2 linked regions of the Caenorhabditis elegans genome follow. The protein of the gene in region 2 purifies or fractionates together with the protein of the main gene of each other region. This does not show direct contact. Each region holds a gene or a part of one and is shown on either strand. Other genes may lie near its edges. The genes, in order: C04F12.8 and myo-1.

Region 1 (10,717 bases), 2.4 Mb from region 2:
ATCCTTCTTATCAAAAACATTGTTATTCAATCCTGCCAGTGTTTGATAATTCGGATCGTGAGTAGCTGCTTTTGCATTCTGATCAGCTGGAGCAGCTGGACCTCCACCACCTGCAGCTGGAGCAGCACCATCCTTCTTTCCAAATACGTTGTTATCCAATCCAGCCAATGTTTGATAGTTCGGGTCGTGGGTTGCTGCCATTCCGGGTTTTGCATTCGCTGGTGGAGCTGGTCCTCCTCCTCCGGCAGCTGGTGCTCCATCCTTCTTTTCGAAACAATCATTGCCAATTCCAGCAAGAGTTTATCTTGTTTCTAAATAACTAACCAGCCATTGGAGGTTTTGGTGCTACAGCAGCGGGGGCTCCAGCAGCAGGGGCTGCACCTTCCGCAGGAGCAGTTGGAGCTGCTGAACCAGCAGCTGATGGTGTTCTGGCTTCGGATCCTTCCTTTCCTTCTGGAGTTTTTGCACCATTTCCTTTGCTGCTCGAAGTTGATTCGCCTTCAACCGACTTCCCCTTTTTCTGAAAGTTGTAATATTTGAAAGTAAGGCGACTTGCTTAGTTGAGAAAAACAATCGCGTACACAACCTTTGTAGGTATGTGCCATGTTTGTGCTTCAGTACAATACTAGAACACTAATCAGTTCAAAACTCACTTTTCCTCCACATCCAGGCAATACTTTTGCTGCAAGAGATCCGGCCGTTGCCAAGTTCAAAGCAATTCCAATGATATCTTGAACGTCCATTGATAGCGTCGATAGTCGCAAACTTGCAGTTGACAAGCTCTTTATTGAGTGTTCAAATCAGGAAATGAATATTATCACACTTGAACGACGAATCGAAAAGTGGACAATGTTGGGAATAAATTCTTTTTTGAAGAAAACTGGTAAAAATATTCAAAAAGATCTTTTGAAAAGATAAGGTTTTTTGTGAAACGTGTAATAATAATATTTTTTGTTTAAATGATTCGCGTATTTTCCCTATTAGTATTACAGTCAAGTCTATTTTTCGATTTGTCATTTTGAGAGAAATTCTAATAGGAAGTGCAAGTCATTAAGACTTATTGAGTCCAATTGTCCAATTTCCATTGTCCAATTTAACTTAAATTACTTACATTACCCGTTATTTTGGGAAAAAAATTCTGAGAAATAATTAAGAAAATAACAGAACACACCTATAATAGTACTAAATTCTCAATAAATTCATAGAAACGCCGAAAAGAAATTAAAAATCTGAAACAAATCATTTAATAGATTGTGTAATTAACTTCGGTTATTTAACACTTTCTGTACATTTTTGTCTGGTTTCATCGTTATATTTCTAACTGCTTCGGGTGTATTATGCGAGCGCAAGTAGAGTCTTTGTAGAATGCTCAAAGGCATGAATAGCTGATTATTTATTCAACCATCATATTGAATAATCTTCGAATCTCTTTTGTAAGATATTTACCAATCATCAGAATTATAATCACGACAACATTTAAAAATTCAATAAAGTTAAAAATTCTTATTCAAACTGGAAGACAGATTTCTTTTCAAAACTTTATTTCAAAAATTTCACTTTTCAAAAATTCATTTTATTTCAAATCACATATAGACATAATCAGATGGTTCACTGGTATGATAGTCGTTGGTGTAGATGTTTGGACTCTGTGCAGCATATTGATGATGAGAAGAGACAACGTCATTCGTGTTCCATGCATAGTGGGACGAATCAGTTTTTGGCGGTGCAAAGTATTGCTGATTGTCCATAACTGAGTTATTCATTGCCAGCTGATTTGGATTTTCAAGCTCCACTGGCTTCTCGGTGCAATAGTCCGAAACCACCTGATTGCTTTGCTCAAACGCGAGTTGAGAATCAATGATACGGGCAATTGCATCGCTGTTCAGTGGGACATCGGCAATGAATTGTGCCTCGAACACGTCACTCTCCGTTGCTGGAAGAACGTCGGCGTCGCTCTCCAAACTAGCATCCATGTAGAAGCTCTTGACGTATGCCATCTTGAGTGAGCTGCAAAAATACTTATTCCTTCATGTTACCTATCGAGGGCGACATCGGGGACATCCGAAATCCAAAAAACTGGATGTCCGCCAGTTCTAAATAAAAACTGAACCACTGCGAATGATGCGAATCGAAATGTGTTCCAAGTGTTGGACTAAAACCGAAATAATTTAATTTTCGATTTCGTTTCGTGGAGGGGGATTTTTTGCCAGATTAGTTTTATTGATAAGAAATTGGAATATATCACGTATATATCAGAATTACAATTTTCGATTTTTTTATTTCAACACCATCATAACTCCACCGTTAAAAACCAAAGTTACTTTTCAAACTGAAATTTAATGTAAATTACGAGAAAAATTGTCTGAAAATGTTTTAAGCTACTTTTCTCAATTCGTCGACTACTATTTCACAATTGTACATTAACTTTATCTCAAGCTTTTAAAACTTTAAAAAGTTATGTTTCTAAGTCAATAGATTATCCAGAAAATTAGTTTTTTCAAGAACTAAAGATTCAGTTTTGGGAAAAAGGGCAATTGAAAATGCTGGTGTGCTGGTTGCAACTTTCAAAATAATTTTCAATTTATCGACTGTTATGTGCAGTCAAGGAGGGAGTATCAAGAAAGTTGTTGCTGAGATCCCGTTTATTAAAATGTATATTCTTGCTACTCGGAGGGTTAATGAAATATTTATTAAATCAATTAAAATCACACAAAGATATCAGCTTGTCCCATTTTTCTTCTTGGTGTCTCCAAACAATCTTCTTCTTTCTCCGATTCAATTGACTTTCTACTGATTAATTGTGGCATTGAGTTGTCAAATGAACGACTTGTTGCCATAACTCTCTTATCCGAAATTTTGACGACGACTGTAGTGAGACGAATGAAGACGGCCATACTGGCAAGAGCCTGAACAATTTTCAGATAAAACTAATTAGATTAAATCTAAGAAACTTACAGTAGCAATCATTGAAATCACTGCACACACCAGAGTAACTCCATTAACAGCATGACAGATATCCGAATTAAGTGTTCCAGTTGAGGGAGTTTTCAGATATTGACATGGAGAATCGAATGATTTAATGAAGAGTGCAATTGTATGTGCAAGATGGAAAGCTGAGAATACAAATGCATGCATCATGAAGAGAAGAGTGAAGACACCAAATGCACGACGAGTTGAGCAGAGTCCAATGAGTGACATGAGTGCCAATGCGGTCATCAACATATCTGAAACATTCTATATTTCTAGGGTCGATATGTTCGAGATTAATTCTCGATGTACAGATAAAACCAATGTCATTTGGAAGTTGTTCTCAGGTTTTTTTTGTTGTCAGGTTTTTTTTTGTTGTCAGGTTTTTTTTTTTTTTTTTTTTTTTTTTTTTTTTTCAAAAGAACATGAAACAACTTCAGATTGACATAGTTCAAAGTGATCATTTGACCATGAACTTTTGTATGTTTCAAAGGTCTTCTTTGAAACTACATCAAGTTCAAGCTCAGTGCACTTTTCCTGTATCTGAAACAAAATGCAAAACTAACCTTTAGTATCCAGAGCAGTCTCATCGAGTACCGTTTTTGATCCGGCAACTTTGTATGCAGTTGAGTAGAGACCACTGACTAGGAAGATGACAGTGATGACAGCACAAAGTGGTGCTTCAATTGACGATAAGCATCCCATTTTGTTGAAGGTTAGTAGATTGAAGACGAGAAGTTAGTTAGTATCGAGTACTGATTGATTTGTGAAGAAACTGAGCATTTATTACGACGTGTCAAATAAATAGAGTAGGGCATCGCGTTGAGGTAGGAAAGTTCGTTTTTCATGAAAATTTGACGTGAAATTGTTTAGAATTTTAAATTTAATACAAAATCTTTACGCAATTTCACGGAGAAAAGTTTTCTGAACATTGCACTTCCATGTAAAACTGTGTCGTTTAAAATAATTCAATTAAAATAGGTAGAATTTTCAGCAGCAGATGTGCACTTTCAGAGTTGATCTGAATTTTTTCTCTGACGTTGAAAAAAGTTATGCAAGGCACTTTCTATAAGCTTGTTCGACCTCTGGGCGACCCTCGTCCTGTGCCTAGTTGACACTATGTACCTACAAACAGAAAGTGGGCAGTAGACAGGCCCTTACTCCTGAAGACGTGATTAAAATCCAAAACCAAACAGGTGAAAGAAATTTAATTATTAATTTCAATAATTTATCTGAAATTCAGAACAACAACCAAAAAGATTTTAAAATGTTTATCGGAATGATATACACAGAAAAACTTTGGATTTGTGTGTGACAATAAGCGACAAAGGAAAAATGGGAAAATATGTTGATTGTTGTGTGTTTTTGTGGGGAAAAATCAACCCGTTACCACTTTTTTTCGCGTTTAGAAAAGTTTAAAAAAAGTTAAGAATTTCAAATTAAAAAAATAAAATACAATTTTAATAAAAATTTGAGTGCGGAACTACATCGAAATTAGAAGAAAGCTTTTTGATTTTTGATAGTAGATAAGTATTGAAATTTTGGTCAAAATATGATACAAAACAAGAGACACAGTAGAACATTATTGTTAAAATGCCGAGAAAAAGTTGTGACGTGGCGAAGTTGAGTACATTGAGAATAGACTTTGACGTGGTTTTCTTGTTGGAGCAGGAGAAAAGAGACTGTATGAAGTGGTAAGAGCAAGACTTGAAGCCGGAAGTGATGATGGACTGTATGCTCGACGAAGTGATGATGTGGCAAGGGATGAGGCAGATGATACGGATGGACGGTATGTACTGGAATATTCAAGTTAATTATAGTAAGAACCCTCGCCGCGAGAAACATTTACGGTAGCATTCCTCATATCTCTTTCATTTTTAAACGTACTAGTACTGAGAAAAATACCGAAAAGTTTAGCGAAACTCATGAAAAATCGTTTAAAGAAACGAAGAAATTTGTTACGATATCCCTTTATTGAATTTCCGATTTGCAAACCTTCATTTTTCAATTAGTCAGGTTTTAGTTGTTCACTTTCTTGAAACTCGATCTTTCTAAAACTTCAAAAAAACTTTTAAAAATCGGTAAATCGAAAATTTGGAAATTTTATAAAAATTTAATAGCAGCAAACGTTTGAGAACTGTCTCACCTTGCTGAAAAAGCTCTCTGCTTGCTCGCGGAGCTCTGTGCAGAAGGCAATGAATGCCTACTGATCTCCCTATTAATCTGCATTCTTCTTATATCATCTGCATAAACATCTGGAATTGGCATATCACATTCCGGTGTCTGAACCATTTTAACTGATGCTGTTCCTCTCAATCGTTTCTCATAATCAACCATTTGTTTCCAGAATCCAACATTTGGACGAATAATTGGTCGAGCTGCTTTGACGTAGTGATATGCTTGTCGGAGAGTCATATGTTCGTGTTTTACCAAATAAATCATTACCAATGAAGCTGATCTTGATACTCCAGCCATGCAATGTACAAGTGTTTTTCCGCCTCGTTCCTGAAAAATTGGATTTGAAAAAACTGTACAATTTCAAAACAAACAAGAAATTTTAAAGAACTGACTTTAAAATTTATGTCTTAAATACATTTGAACTGAGATTATAGGCGCCCGGCGGGAGGCCGCCTATAACCTCGCTCCGTTTTTTAGAGTACATGTGGATCCCTGTGTGATTTGAGCCAAGCCTGAAGGCAGGTGTGCAGACATTTGTTGCCTACATAGAAGCCTAGTCTTAAAAAAAGAACAAATTGTCTTCCATAACTTCTAACAAAATATGTAATTCCCTTATATTTTCAGATTTTAAAACTCTCATAACATTTCTGCCATGACCCTTATCCGTTCTAAAGTTCACTCCAGTCAGTAACACTTTCCATTTCTTCTCTTCACTCGTAAAAATGTCCATTCCGCCTACACTCATAAATTCAGTTAAGAACGGCCGTCGAGAGTACAAACAACTGGTTTTTACTTTTTTTTTCTCTTTTGTGTCTTCGTTCCTTCTCTTTAAATCGTAATGTCCACACGATGAACAGAAGTTATGAAACATTTAAATGAAACATAATTTTGAAAACATTTCAAAAACTCTAGGAAGTTGAAGATTTTAAACACTAAAATATACCTTAACATTACGGATTTTGTCAGCAACAACATCAAAATGCTCACTGAGCCTTGCATATGGATGATCTTCAATTCGAATTTTCATTGTGTCAACTCCTGAAATAGGTATAAGTTTATCAAAATTGATTCTAAAAAGGTAGTTTATAGTTTTTCCGGGGCAAGAGTATCGCCGAAATTTTTTTTTTTTTTGATTTTTCCGTATTTTTGTGGAAAATCGAAAAATGGCTGGTGGATTGGGGTGTTTTCTCTTTTTTAAGGAAAATTCGAACGAACCTTGCATATACGTGGATGGCTCTTCAGTGGTTGCATTTACAATCATATTAATTTTTCTTTGTTTAATTTTATCTGGCTTCAAAACTCCGGCACCCGAAAGATACAGATGATCATTAATTTCAGACATTTGTCCGAGAACACCAACATTCCTCGACATATTTCTGAAAAACATTTTAAAGTTAAATATATCTAAAATATAAGAGTTTTAGAAAAAGGAGAGGCAGTTTAAAAGGACAAAAGAATACATTACATGGTAGTTAGACTTCCTTTGAAAAAATGAATTTTTGGGAAAAATTTGCAAAATTGGTACAAAACCGGATTTTTCGACAAACTTCAAAGGTAAATGGCGGTCACAAGGTAAAGAGATATAGAGAGAAAAATTTTTAAAAAAAGTTAGTAACTGTTTCCCCCGGCGGCAAAGAATTTGGGCAATGAAAAAGGAAATTAGTGGAGGAAAAGAGAGATGGCATTTGCAAAAACATTTTGTCTCTTGTTTCGAGAAATGGTTTTTGATGATTTATGTATTAAGATGGGTTAGAAACAGTAACAATATTTTGTAATTCGACATTTTTTTGCGGTTTCTGAGGAATCAAAGATAATCTGTCTTTTTTAGACACACCTGCTTTCTTATTTATATCGCAAAATTTCTTGTGGACGAAACTGGAAGAGAATGTTTTTTGAATATAAAAAACACCGATTTGAGTTCTAACGGAAGAAAAAATAAATAAACTGAGCTCTTGCTGGACTTTTGCGAAATGTTCAAAATGTAACTCATCATTTTCCGAACAAAAACGCATCTGGTTCTCGTGACACAAAATGAGCCCACTCATTTCCTGAATTCTTACCCTGTTATTACATTTGATAAATGCGGTCATTTTTCTCTTGAACTTTTTTCGATCAGTTTGGAATTGGAAAACGGGCATTTCTCCAGTAATGACTCAAAAAATCAAGTTAACTATAAAGAGATGATACATGAGATTTGAAATTTTAATATGTGAAACTATGTTCGTTAATATTATATAATATTCAAGTCGTTTTCATGAAATTTTCACAATATGGAAACATTTAATCTTTAAAAAAACAATCTGAAAGCTTTGAAAATTTCTATTTTAAGAAACGATTTCATTTTTTGACCCAATGAAGTAAATAAAAATTCTAAAAACTTCAAAATTTAAACGCTCAAAACAATTTTGACTATTTCAACAAGTTCACCAAACCTCCAAAATTATCAAAATTTTATGAATCTGTGAAAAATAAGCTGAAAAATTTTTGGAATAAAAATTGTAATCCCCAAAAGAGTTTCTCTAGAAGAATCTAGACTATCTTCAGAGAATGTACCTAAGAAACCTATCCATATCACTTATTCAAGTGGAAAAGAAAGTAAAGATTTGTGTGTCAAACGGTAGTTGGCAACCCAAACATTGATCATCACCTGGTTCTCGACCCTTTGTTTCTCCCTTTCCTTGACTTTTCCTAATATTTGCTCACAAAGAACTAGTGGGAGGAGAAGGTGACTTGTTTGTTGGAAGTGAATGACGTGGCGAAAGGAGGAACAATGCGTTCCTGTGGGAGTGAGAGGGTATCGTTTCAGCCAAAACGATACGATTAAAAAGTAAAAGTTCAGAGGGTGAGAAGAAGAGGAATCAAGAGAGAATGCAGATGACTAGATATAGAAGTTCTCAGTTTTCTCGCTTTAAATCACCTGAAGCTTATGGAACTTCAGAGTTAGCTTTGTGACGGTGTGAGTGAAACCATTTTCAAAGTTGTGAGATGTTTACAGTTATAAAATTGTGCGAAAAACTTTACGTTTTAGTTTCCGAAAATATTACAAAATTTCAGAAATCGGCGAGTGCCAAAATGCTTCCAGAAATCAATCTGCAGAAATTTTTTATTTCAAGTTGGAAATTGATAAATGTTCAGTTTTGGCGAAATTCCCATTTGAATGCCCAATTGCATTGCCTTTCTTAGTAAATTATTTCTAGTTTTATCATTGACTTATGTTTTTCTTATATTTTCTGATCTGTATAAGTGAGGGAATTTAATTATAATTTTCCAAAAATTTAGTTATTTCCATTTTTATATTTACTTTTTTTAAAATTTTCACAGTAGGAAGTGGGTTAAAACTTGCCGAAATTATCACATCAGCCTGCTGCACAGTAACTTAGCAAAAACATATAATTTCAAATTCTGTGTTCGTAAAATTTGAGAAAAATAAACCAAAATCGTCCAAAATAACAAATGACTTCTTTTATAAAAACAATTGATGAAACCATTTCCACAGTAAGCATAAACAAGATGTTTCTAGAAACGTCTTAGAGAAACTTTCAAATCAAAAGTGAAAGTGAAGGTAAGAGTTTGAAAATTGTGGTTGTTTTGGGGAAAATGGTTAAAGAATGAAACTTGTTTCTCAAAACAAACGAGTCTTAACTACTCTTACTGATCTTTGACGATGGCACAAAATTGTGGAGGAAGTATCATCTCCCCGAGTACGCATGTACCCGTAGGACAAAGGTGTAATCTTCTTGCTCAGAATGTGAAATAGTGTTGAGAATAAAGAGATTTAGAGAAAGAAACGAAATTGATACAACTAGAAAAAGCTTGAGGGAGGGTGATAATGGATGAAAAGTAGTGTAGGTTGAGAGAAATGTAGACAAAAAGACATGGGAAGATAAAAATAGAAGAAGATGATATTCAAGATTTCCAAGAATTTTAAACAACCCTCTGCATATGAAAAAGAGGTGATTACCTATTACTTTGGCATGACCATACTTTCTCAATTTGTTTACAGGGGTGTGCGTCATCTTCAAATTTACAAAACTGCTCGTTTCGGTATAATAACCCAATTTTCAAATTAATTATAAACATAGGTTTATTTATACAAAATATATTTTGGTAATTCGAGAATAAAATTTATTTTTATTGAGAATTTCTCGGTAGATCTGAGTTGAAAGTCTTTATTTGTCAATTGCAACCTACAGCCAATTTCGAGCACACTTTCCACACTTTTAAATGGAATTAAATTTCATTTTAAAAATTTGCATTTTTTTTATTTCAATGTGAAATTTTTTGGTGAATTTTTCAAAATAAATTTTGATGCTTGTAGACTTTTTTTCAATGCAGACTTTTTATAATAAACTGTCAAAGATCTTAAATGTATTCATAGGATTAAACAAACATTGGTCAAGGTTTTTGGAAGTTTTTGTTTTTTTGAAAAAATGCTACCAGATTAATTTGTTTTCAAAGCTCAAACATTTTTATGCTCTCTGGTTTCTTCTAACCATTTAATTTTCACAAATACCGAAAGTTAAAAAAAACCGCCTGCGAAGAACTAAAAACAACTAACGACTAAAGAATAAAAAGCAAATCAAAGGAGAATCAGCAATCACAATAATAACAGAAAGAGTTGTCCAAATAGAAAAGAGCAGCAAATATTTTCGTGTTCGACCTTTTTTTTGAGAGACAAACAAATCGAGTGGTTGAGGTGGGAAAATGACAATTTCTGGGCCACTTTTTAGAAGTTTTTAGATTTCAAATGACACTGGATCGTTGATCAGCTCAAAAAAGACGCAGACTTTCAAAGATTGTATCTAGAAATCAGCTGAAATTGGGAGGAGGATGAGAAATAAAGATGTTACACAATAATCGAGGTCTCTCTTGATAACTTTTCCGATTTGTGTAAGTTAGAAGATTGTGTTAGTGATATATCTATCATTTATCACTTTAACATTACACAACTGCCTCCCTTGACAACAGAAAACCGGAAATGATGTAGGTTTTCAGATTAAGATGATATACTTTTTCCAGAGCTGATATTGCTTGCCACCTTTTTTTGGAATTATTTTTATCATGATATCAAATGGTTCTGAGCAATACTCGTTCAAAAGTTATATGCAAAAACAAGTGCAAGATATAGAGGCTCCCATAAACTTGCAACAAAATAAAATAAGAGAATATATATGAGTGATAACAATAGGAAAATGAAAAACAAGTTATATGGGAAAAGAAGGTGAGAAAACACGAACAAGAAGAATGAGAAGAAGTTGTTGATCAGACGCTGAAAAATGTCCTTCCTGCTGTCGGTGAGCAGTCGTCACTACTTATTCACAAAATGAACAAAGAGAGCACAATTCAGACGGGACGAGAAGATGAAAATAGAATGAAGAAAGGCGTCGAAGCGGTAACAAGTGAATGAAGTTTCTTGTCTCTTAATTTTTACTTTTTCACAACTTTTTCTAGTCCAATGATAACTGAATGAACAATTGAAGGGGTTTTAGCTGTCACAAAAAAGAAAATTATTCTAAACCTGCAAATTCAAAATCGAGAGCCATGTATTACATATCCACGTTAAAGCTCTCTA
Region 2 (10,824 bases):
AGGGATTTGCGTTGTCTGTCGACATGGACTGCATGCTCTTGTTCTTGACGGACCTCTTCAGCAAGACGATCCGCATCAGCAGCTGCCTTGCGGGCACGCTCCTCTGAAGCCTTAAGCTCGTTCAAGTACTCGTCCAATTCGTTCTGAAAGTTTTATTTTTTAAAATCTGACAATCCGTTTAATAAACTCACTCTGGCAATCTGAACCTCGTTCTCAACCTTTCTCTTCATGGCAGAAAGAGCAGCATTGTTTCCAATAAGCTCAGTGTTGGAAGACTTGAGTTCAGCCTGTTCGATTTCGAGTTGTTTCTTATGCTTATCAGATGCCTCGATGCGGTGAGCAAGATCCTCGCTTTCAGAAAGAGCAATAGCAAGTCTCTTCTCAGCAGCCAAATAGTTCTCACGGATCTCCTCACGTCTGCGTTGCTCATCATCGACTTGTCCTTGAAGTTCCTTGACTTGGTCGAAAAGTTTCTTCAAGTTCTTCTGGGCGTCAACGTTAGCCTTGTTGGCATGATCCAAAGCAATCTCGAGTTGATTGATGTCAGTCTCAAGCTTCTTCTTGGCTCTGGCGAGCTCGGCCTTGCTCTTAGCTTCGGTTTCGAGGGAAGCTTGGATGGACTCGAGGGCACGTTGATGGTTCTTGCGAGTGTTCTCGAATTCCTCCTCCTTCTCTTGAATTCTCTTCTCGATTTCTGAACGGATCTGTTGAACCTCGATTTGAAGACGGAGAACCTTGCTCTCTTCGGCTTCAAGTGCAGCCTCGGCCTCATCAAGAGCATGTTGAAGCTCGTCCTTTTCTTGTTCGAGACGGCGGACAGACTTGTGAACCTCTTGGTATGTACGTCCTCCTTGGGTGATTTGCTCGTTAATGTCGCGAATCTCTTGCGAAAAGATCTTGTTCTCGCGTCTCAAGGTCTCGATTTGCTCGCTGAGGTTGTCCATGGATGAACGAAGTTTGAAGACTTCAGTCGAGGTATTACGGCTGTCACGAGTAGTGGCATCAATCTCTTTTTGGATATCATCAACCTTTCTCTTCCAGTCATCAACGATCTTGTCGAAAGCACGTTGTTTCTTTTCAAGGGAAGCAATGACAGTCAAGTGACGATCAACATCTGAACGAGCATCTTCGGTTTCGGCAAGAAGTTTTCCCTTGGCCTTCTCGAGAGAGATGACCTTGTTCTGAGCAGCAGAAAGAGCCTCTTGAAGATCCATAACTCTGTTCATCTGCTTTCTCTTGAGCTCTTCCAACTCCTCAGATCCAACCAATCCTTCTCCTTCGTATCTGGCCTTCCATTGAGAAATCTCGGAATTGATACGGGAAAGTTGACGTTGAATGTCGTCTTTTCCGTTGATTTGCTCCTCGAGCAACTCGTGGCATTGATCGAGTTCGTGCTCCAAGTTCTTGCAGGCAGCATGGAACTCTTGACGCTCGTGAAGCTCGTCTTCAGCGGCCTTCTTAGCCTCTACAAGTTGAGAAGAGAATGCAGTCTTGGCACGGTTGATGGTAGCCAAATGAATCTCGAGCTCTTCAACTTGACGAGCAAGATCGGAGTTGTCGTTGGAAAGTCTTCCCTTGGTGGAAGTGTACTCTCCGATTTGTCTCGATTGCTCGTCAACCTTTTGTTGAAGCTCGGCAACTTGGATTTCGTATTGCTTGGCAAGACGTTCCTGTTCAACACGAGACTTGGTCTCTTGATCAACCTGAGCATTGATGTCATCGAGTTCCTTTTGGAGGACTCCCTTCTCCTTCTCGATCTTAGCCTTAGACTTCTGAAGAGCATCCAAGGTGTTGGTCAAGGCAGAAATTTGGTCATTGTTCTTTCTGCGTATCATAGCCATCTGATCTTCGTTGGCCATGTTCTTCTCGTCAAGATCTCTGCGGAACTTGATGATTTCAGAATCCTTCTTCTTGTTGTTGTCTTGTTGGATTTCGAGTTGCTTGTTCTGTTCGTCAAGTCTCTCGTTGAGCTCATCAAGCTCGCGTTGAAGCTCAGCACGAGCACGGTCAGCCTTGGAGCGAGATTGTCTCTCGTGCTCAAGCTCATCTTCGATTTCAATAATGCGTTGAGCATTTTCCTTGGATTGGCGGGTAAGTCTGTTGGCAAGTGCTTGCTCATCCTCAATTCTGACTCCAAGAGCATGGATATCAGCCTCCTTCTTCTTGAGGGAAGCATCAGTTTCAAGCTTGATGGCGGAGAGCTCATCGATAGTTTCTTGAGCTCCCTTGAGTTCACCCTCAACCTTTCTCTTAGATTTCTCAGTTTCAGCTCTGATTCTCTTCTCTCTTTCAACAGCTTCTTCCATTTCGTCCAAAGTTTGCTCGAGCTTTCCACGAAGTCGGTTGGCTTGAGCTTGCTTGGCTTCTTCAGCTTGAAGATCGTCGACAAGTTGACGGTTGTTCTCTTCAAGAAGCTTCTTCTCCTTGTTGATTTTTCCAATAGTCTCATCTTGAGAGTTCATCTCATCTTGAAGGGAATGGATCTGGTTTTCCTTGGCGGCCTTCTCCTCAAGAGATTTAGCCAAGTTTCCATCTACGGCTTCGATCGACTTCTTCAAGTTTTCAACTTCTTGTTGAGCCTTTCTGCGTTGCTTCTCAAGATCAGCGTTCTTCTCTTCATGCTCCGAAAGACGGTCGTTGGCGTCATTCAGAGACTTCTCAACTTCTTGACGAGCACTGTTGAGGCGGGTAAGCTTCTCTTCGATGGCAGCAGATCCTCCTTGGGTAAGCTCGAGAGCTTCCAAAAGTTTTGATCTCTCAGCGGACAGCTTGGCGTAAGCCTCTTCTTGAGATTTTCTGGCAGATTCGGCCTTCTTGGCTTCAGCTTCAAGAACCTTTTGCTCTTCAGCCATCTTGATCATTTCTTCAGCCATCTTTCCGCATTTAAGTTGTGGACGGAGCTTTCCGAACAGCAAGAACCAATCCCAAGTACGGAGGACGCACCAGGAACGGATGTTGCGTTGAAGGATGATGTATGAGTTGAGTTGCTTGCGTCTTGCTCCGGCATCAGCAGTGGCAGTGTACCAACGGATGGCAGATTGGAATCCAGTGATAATCTGGTTAAGCTTGTCATCTCTCAGATCTTCAATGTGGGCAACAACTCCAGCCTTGAAGAAGACTTTAGTGTGTCCAATTCTGAATTGTTCATCATTCAATTGTTTTTGATTGATAAGTGCTTGAAGGATAGCTCCGGCACAAGTCTTCATGTCATCCGATGACTTGGCTTCCTTGGCGGCAAGGATAGCGTAACGTTGGACGAAATCTGGATGTTGAGTTCTGTTGGGGAATCCCTTTCTGCAAATTCTAATTCCTTCCAACACTCCGTTACATGTAAGCTGGTTGAGCACAAGGGCGGCATCAATCATTCCAGATTGTTTCTTCTCGTTAGGAATGATACAACGGATGAAATGTGGATGAGTCTTGTGAAGCATAGTCATGAGCTTGTTGAGAGATTCTCTGTACATCATGGATACAGTCATGAAAGATCCAGACTTTCCTCCCTTGCGACCACCTCCGGCCTTAGCGGCGGCAGCAGCTTCTTCTTGGGTGGTGTAATCTTGCCAGATTTCGACAAGAAGGTCGTTCTTCTTCGAAGCCTTCATGACGGAGACAACGGTGTCGTTGAGAGGATCCTTGTTCTTCTCGAGCCAGTTCAACACGTTGTAACGGACAGTTCCGGCGTAATGCCGCATGGCGAAGTGAGCCTCTCCTTGCTTTCCCTTTGGTGGTTTTGGCTTTTCGAAGTTTGGATGCTTTCCAAGATGTTGATCGGTAAGCTTCTGGGCAAGAGTCATGTCAGTAGCCTTTGGAACAATACACTCCTCATCAAGCATAGAGATGATACCGAGTGGCTTCTCAATAAGCTCGATACAAGCTTGGAGATCAAGTCCGAAATCAATGAATGTCCATTGGATTCCTTCACGGGCGTACTCTTCCTGCTCAAGAACGAACATGTGATGGTTGAAGAATTGTTGGAGTTTTTCGTTGACGAAGTTAATCCAGAGCTGTTCGAAGGAATTGAAGTCGAAGATTTCGAATCCAGCAATATCGAGTACTCCGATGAAATAATCACGATCAATTCCCTTTTGATCAAGAGTAAGATTACATTTCTTGACAAGCCAGTGGAAGACACGAGCGTATAACCCCTTAGCCATGGCTCCAATAGCCCAGTGAACTTGATCAACGTTCTGTCCCTTGGATACCCATTCGGTTCCGACCTTGACTCTTGGAGACACCAAAGCCTTAAGGAATTGATCGACATCAATTCCGTACATGTTACAAGCTCTCTCAGCTTCATCTTGGCCATCTGGCTCGGCTTGCTCCTCACGTGGGCGTTGCTTGAATTTCATGTTACCCATGTGCATGTGAGCCGACATGAGTCTATAACAATCCATCTTCTCGGTGGGCGAGAATTTGAGAACATCAAAGGCCTCGTCGGTCAATTGGAACTCCTCAGTGTCATCGATTCCTGGAATAAAACAAGTTAATCTCATTCTCCAGAAATACAAAACATACCATCAATGAGCAACTCAGCTTGAGCAACAAACCAATAGTTGGAAATTGGATGGTTGAGAAGAAGCTCGTCACGGAGTTGTGGCTTAAAATCTGAGTAGATTTGGTAGAAGATATGGTAACAACGCTCTCCTGGAGCTTGACGGATGACACGAGATTTCTCGAGAAGATCTGAACAATTTACGATTTTCGTAATAACTTCTTATCATTATTATCAACTTACAGTGTTCAATATCGCAGGAAGCAAGAGTTCCGTGCTTGTTGAAGTGAATACGGATGAACTTTCCGAAACGGGAAGAATTGTTGTTACGGACAGTCTTGGCGTTACCTAAACAACCAAATTATCAGACAAGTGTTAATTTTTTAATTTATGTCTGTACCGAAAGCTTCCAATACTGGATTGGTTTGAACGATCTGGTCTTCAAGGGTAACTTCCTTCTCTCCCTCCTTCAAAGCAGCCTTTTGTGAAGCTCCGACGGTGGCAAAGTAGCAAATAACCTTCTTTGTGTTTTCAGTCTTTCCGGCTCCAGATTCTCCGGTAATAAGCATAGACTGATTCTCATGGTCTTGAAGCATGTAACGGTAGGCTTGATCAGAGACAGCGAACAAATGAGGTGGCATCTCGGTACGACGCTTGCCCATGAACATACGAGCAACAGAGTCAGTGTAAATTGGGAGACGTTTGTATGGGTTGATGACAACGCAGAAAAGTCCAGAGTAGGTCTGAAAATGGGCAAATTGGAACATTTTGTTTCAGTCAATATCCCATTTTTATAGAACTTACTTCTTTAAATTTCAGTAGTATTCAAATTTAGTTATTTTTTGGAACGATATTTTTATATTCTCAATACTGCCTTTGTTGAATCACATATTTTTAGTACCATTCCAATTTCAGTCCAAAATTCCAATATAAATTTTCTCTTTACTCACTGTGCACATTGAGCATGACTCTCTTTGTTTCTCATCGTCTGTCTCGATCCACTTAAGATAGCATTTTGCCACTTTTGCGTGGGCGCACTATTTGCCTATCCAACTACGCATTTTCGCAGATCTTTTTTCCGTGTTTCTATTTGAAGTTTTTTGAAACTGAAAAAACTTACATAGATAAGCATAGCAGCGTAACGGGAACGCAAATTCCACAGAACGGAGGCGTCATTAAGGAAAGTCAAGTTGGACATGTCTTCGGTTTTCTCGAACTTTGGTGGATTGACTTCTTGAACGATATCCTTCTTCAAAGTTACATCTTTGCCTCCGGCGGTAACGATAACAGTATCGGCCTTTGGTCCTGGACCCTTAATAACTCCCTCAATGTATCCTTCTTCGGCATCTGGAATCCAGACGTTCTTCTTCGAATCGTATGGGCGGGATTGATCCTGTAAAATAAAAAAAATATAAAAATTAATTTATATTCATACATAGTTATAAAATAATTATTATCCTAAATATCAAAACGGTGAAGTTTAGAAGCTTTAAAAATAACGATCTACCGAAAAACCGGTAAGAATTTTAAGAGATTGAACCTTGAAAATATGTTTAAAAAAGTAGCCAAGAAACAATTTTTAATATTTTGCTGTAAAAATGCTCACTTAACCACTTTAAAATAACTCTATTGTAATTGAAAAAGTTTCATTTTAAAGTTTATCAGAACATATTCAACAAGTAAAATAAAGATTGAATCTTGTTCTAGTTGGAAAATTAAATTGAATTGTTTCTATACTCAAAATAGATGAAATATTATTTGTCGAGAGAAGGACAAATTGGGAAAATACGGTATTTTATTAGGTTCAAAACTGAAGGAACAATTCGTTATTAGAAGTGTATAAAAAGCAGCGACTTCAGATAAATTTCGAATATTTTGGAATTTGAGAAGATTAGGATTTATGAGGAGAAAAAATACGTCGAATGTAAACCTAGGAAAAAGTAGAAAGTAAAATGAAAGAAGTAAAATCTTACCGCGAGCTGTTGCTCTCTCGACCTTTTCAGGTACTGCCATCCTGGGTCCTTCTCGTGTTCGAGCGACATTCTTGATTTGTTTCAGTGGAAATTAAAACGAACGGCTAATTGAAAAATGAGGCTAAACAGGTGGGTGACTTCTTCTTTTTCTTCCTACTGCTGCACTGCACACAGCTCCACACTACTGTGCTCTGCAGGGACGGATAATAGTTTGGCACACACAAGAGAGAGCTTCACTCGGCACACTTCATAGGGCGGAGCAACTCAAACTCCCCCTCATCTTCCTCTCTTGCTTAGCGCCCGTGCGCAAGAAAGGGGGCTCTCCGATATCCACACAATGAACTGTTGCCGAGAGCATCAAACGTCTCTTGGATGTGCATTGTCCATACGTTTTGAGCTTTTGCGTCGCCAGTCCAAGTACTTTATCTTTCAGGTTCATCGAAAGAGTATGTTAAATTGAGAAACGAAGAGATTACTGTAGAACTTGTTGAAAAAATCAGAGGAGGGGGTTCTTTCGGAATGAGCCCGCGCTTTTTTGAGCACACATTATTATTGGATAGAGACATACGTAAGAGATTTTTGAGAGTAAGCGCTTGGAACTTGTGGGAGTAGATAAAAAAATGTAGAAAAAAAATTAAGGGATTCATTCTTAGTTTACTTATATTTGTATAAAAAATTGGAATCAGTGATTTCAGTAACCTGGACCAGCAAACTGGTCTTATTTTATTATTAGAAACAACACTATTAGAACATTAATGAATACTGTGTAAGAAATCCGAATAATAATAATAGATCTAAATCGGATTTGGACACAATTATTTAGAAAAATTTTAAAAAAAGCGACGTTTTGAGTTTAAAAAAATATTTTTGCTTCCATCGTGTTCTTTGAAGTACATTCAAAGTTGGATGCTTTGTCGTTGAAAACATTTGTCTACATTAAAATTCAGAAATCCATCAAAAAATTTAACATGAGAAAATGTTATATAGAAACTGTGCTGCCAAATAATATTCAATATAGTGTACCTTAATACCTCAAGCAATTTTATAAGTATTTATTTTTTTTGTCAAACCATGATATTCAACCTTAACGTTTTCATTTAAAAATCACTATTTTGTATTCGCATAGTTCATTCGCGATGTGCGCATACTCATTTCGATTGAGGACCGGTACGATATGTGTTTCACGAAAACGAGCATCCGCAATGCACTCACTGCGAGGCGCGTTTGGCACATTGTGGCCGACTTCGTTGGGGATGTGTGCCACAATATCACTGCTGCGAAGATCTCTCTGGACATATTATGTGCTGATCAGATATTAGTCTCCCAGCTAGGAATTAACTTTTCAGATTATTAGTTATAGATTGTTTGAGAAACCTGTTTTTTTAACTGTTGCAAATAACGTTTTTTTTGTAGCTTAACCTAACTTTCATATCCATTCTCTCCAAAAATGTGTTGTAATAATGATGAGAGACCAAGTGGCATTGGTGAAGGAAGTTTCACCGAATCTCTCGACTTTTTTGTGCCATGTCTTTGCTCCCCCATCCCACACTCGGATACTTCTGCGCATCCTCCGCTCGCCTTTTCTTCGAATTTTTCTCGTTTTTCTAATAGTAATATTTGCCCAATTTCTCCCCCATCTATATCTCTCACACAGTATTTGTATGTGTGTGCGTAAATGTGTGTGTGTCTGTTTCTTTTTGAGATTTTCGCTCCTCTTATTCATCTTTGTTCTCGGGGCCACCCCCTGAAATTCAAAGTGAACACGGGAACACCGATCAAGTATGTACATCGACCAAGAATTGAAATCATTTTCTCCTAGTTAACAGTCTGGAAACACGAAAAGTTGAATTAGTTTGTTTCTCAGCAAATTGAAATAAAAAATTAAAGTTTCTAAAAACTTTTAAGAAGACTCTCGAAATTTCTAAGATTTCTGTGACATGTACCATTCTTTTTCCTTGTAAGTATTGCTGATCTACTAGAAAATGTTGTTTCAGAATTTTTTCTTAAAAAATTCAAAGGATAAGTTAATTAAAAAATTACAATAAATATATATGCAAAAAGGATTCTGATGGCAAAAATATTCCCAACATTTTCGATATTTTTTAAAGAATAATGAAATTAGTTAGTTTAAGACCTTTTTGAGTCTATTCCCACTTTAACCTTTACCAGAGAATGCCACTGTTTAATGACTGCGCTCAATATGCTGTCAATTTACTATTTTCTACTACATACAGTTATCAACCTATTAATAAAATGACTTTATGTTCTCAAGTTTGTTTCCAAATACTGAAACGAAAAATTAAGCTCGTAGTCAGCTGGGGAAAAATGTTTCATTTATTTCCATAGAAATAATACAATCAGAACAATGAGTTTCTTTCGTTAAAAAATTACGTATTAAAGCCACTTGTTTTGACCAGGTGAATTGACAAAGTAACACATTATTGATATCCGTTTCTTTTTTTGTTTCGAAAAATCTAAAATTGCAGAATATCTACACATCTTGTTGCAGTAAAAGTCGACCATCACTGTGTACCCGATGAGCTTTCTTCCGTAAATCAAGTGATGTAATTGCTTCTTTTGACTCAATATTGCTGTCCTAAACATATGAAATATCACTTAGAAGCAATTTCAGTTAACTTACAGAGGCCGGTTTAGAAAATGGAATCTTTGGATGATGGTGGTGACCGTGTATTCCTCGAACTGATGGTTTCCTCAAATGATGTTGAATAGTGCCGAGGGCAAGAATTGCCTGAAATAAATTGAAAATTAAAATTATATATTTTTATCTAAAGGAGCGTATGGTAGACTTAAAAATGCTCCTATGGCCAAAAAAAAAAGTAAACGACGAAAAATAAAATAGGAAGGACGCTAAAAAGTAAGTTCGGGATATATAGCCGCGGATAAAGAACTTTCCAAGCAAATTTCCGAAACATTTAATGAGTTTCTATTTTTAAAGTAATTAAATTAAAGTTTGAAGTAAAGTAGATATCACCATGAGGGAACATTTTGATTCAAAGGAAATGGTGCAACTGGAAATTCAGTCGGGAATTTCTGTCTCCTCAAATAAATATTCCAATTTGGACGGAATTTTTTTTAAAGAAAACTCTGTTTTTCTGAATTTCCCGTAATATTTCCGTTATCACCTACCAACTCAGTATCCTTCGGAATACTTCTCTGATTAGTACTTGTGAAGGAATGAATCGTTGCCTGACAATCATCTCCATCGGAAGATCCTGATAAGAAAACTGTCTTCTTTCTTGGAGCAGGAGGAGATAAAGCTTCCGAATTATTAACTGATCTCCAATCTTCTTCATCGTCATCTTCCTCTGCTTGTTTGCATGCAACTTCCAATATCTTATCAAGATCATGTAATACTTCCCTCAGTTTTTCCGGCGTTGATCCAAACTTTTCAGCCACCAAAGTGACCAAATCCTTGACAGTCATCATTTGCCCTCCAAACCAAATTTCAGCTTCTTCTGAATCTGAAACCTTTCTTCCATAGTAATGAATCCACATGATTCCTTTTTGAAGACTTGCAAAAAATAGAAGCATTGTAGCAACTCCAGTGCAAAGGTATACAGTTACAATTATATATTGAAAAAGTCCTTCTGGAGTTGGGGAGTAATCTCCATATCCAATAGTTGTAATCGAAATGAAACTAAAATAGAATGCATCTAGAAAGTCAAGTTGATCGATCCACAGTGAGAATATGAGAGCTCCAATAAAACAATGAGCGGCTAGAAGAATTGCAGAGGTATACCATCGAAATCCGGAGTTCTCCACGTTCTGAAAATTACTGTTAAACATCTGAAATTCAAATATAAAGATTACCTGTGAGCTATAACTTCTGTGTACAATATTACAAATATCTACAACAAGTACACTATTCGTTGCAACAGTCATGAAGAACAATGGTATTCCAGCCACACAATATAATATACAAATTACTTTTCCTCGATCGTCAAATGGAGCAATGTTTCCATATCCTGTCAGTTTTCAAATAGTTATTTTATTTGAGATCTAAAGTATCATATTTACCAATTGTTGAAATTGTTGTAATGCAGAAAAGAGCTCTATCCAAGAAGGATGCTTCATTATTTGTCGAAGAATGTCGCAGATCGAAGACTTGACATCCGAATAGAACATAAAGAATTAACGCAACGTTCAGAATGAGAACATATGTCGAGGCAAACATTAACTGAAAATTTGAACTTTATTTTTCAAAAATATTACCAGCACGTTAAAAAAATTGATTTCTGATTTTCATGTTTTAGAAAATTGTTCATAATTAAAATCTTCCGCCTGAGCATCATTTGCCTACAGTGGTTTTGTTTTTAAAATAATTTTCTGGTTAATGTC

The links.
Region 1: the proteins of myo-1 (region 2) and C04F12.8 fractionate together in Caenorhabditis elegans (co-fractionation; one large-scale study listed by BioGRID). This does not show direct contact.

The regions. Positions count from the first base shown.
Region 1 is NC_003279.8:9,693,039-9,703,755, forward strand, and holds C04F12.8 (Protein-tyrosine-phosphatase), read right to left. Parts: upstream 6,529-10,717; 5' UTR 6,518-6,528; coding exon 6,361-6,517; intron 6,184-6,360; coding exon 6,089-6,183; intron 5,984-6,088; exon of another isoform or gene 5,963-5,983; intron 5,473-5,962; coding exon 5,114-5,472; intron 4,764-5,113; coding exon 4,556-4,763; 3' UTR 4,199-4,555; downstream 1-4,198. Other genes in the region: C04F12.12 (Retrovirus-related Pol polyprotein from transposon TNT 1-94), read right to left, coding at 1,584-1,997; C04F12.7 (Membrane-associated protein), read right to left, coding at 2,706-2,906, 2,956-3,224, 3,534-3,672.
Region 2 is NC_003279.8:7,260,402-7,271,225, forward strand, and holds the start of myo-1 (Myosin-1), read right to left. Parts: upstream 6,657-10,824; 5' UTR 6,535-6,656; coding exon 6,466-6,534; intron 5,886-6,465; coding exon 5,613-5,885; intron 5,236-5,612; coding exon 4,893-5,235; intron 4,841-4,892; coding exon 4,736-4,840; intron 4,684-4,735; coding exon 4,516-4,683; intron 4,469-4,515; coding exon 192-4,468; intron 144-191; coding exon 1-143. Other genes in the region: twk-1 (Potassium channel domain-containing protein), read right to left, coding at 8,957-9,061, 9,107-9,214, 9,613-10,251, 10,297-10,451, 10,504-10,663. UniProt on the Caenorhabditis elegans protein: Muscle contraction.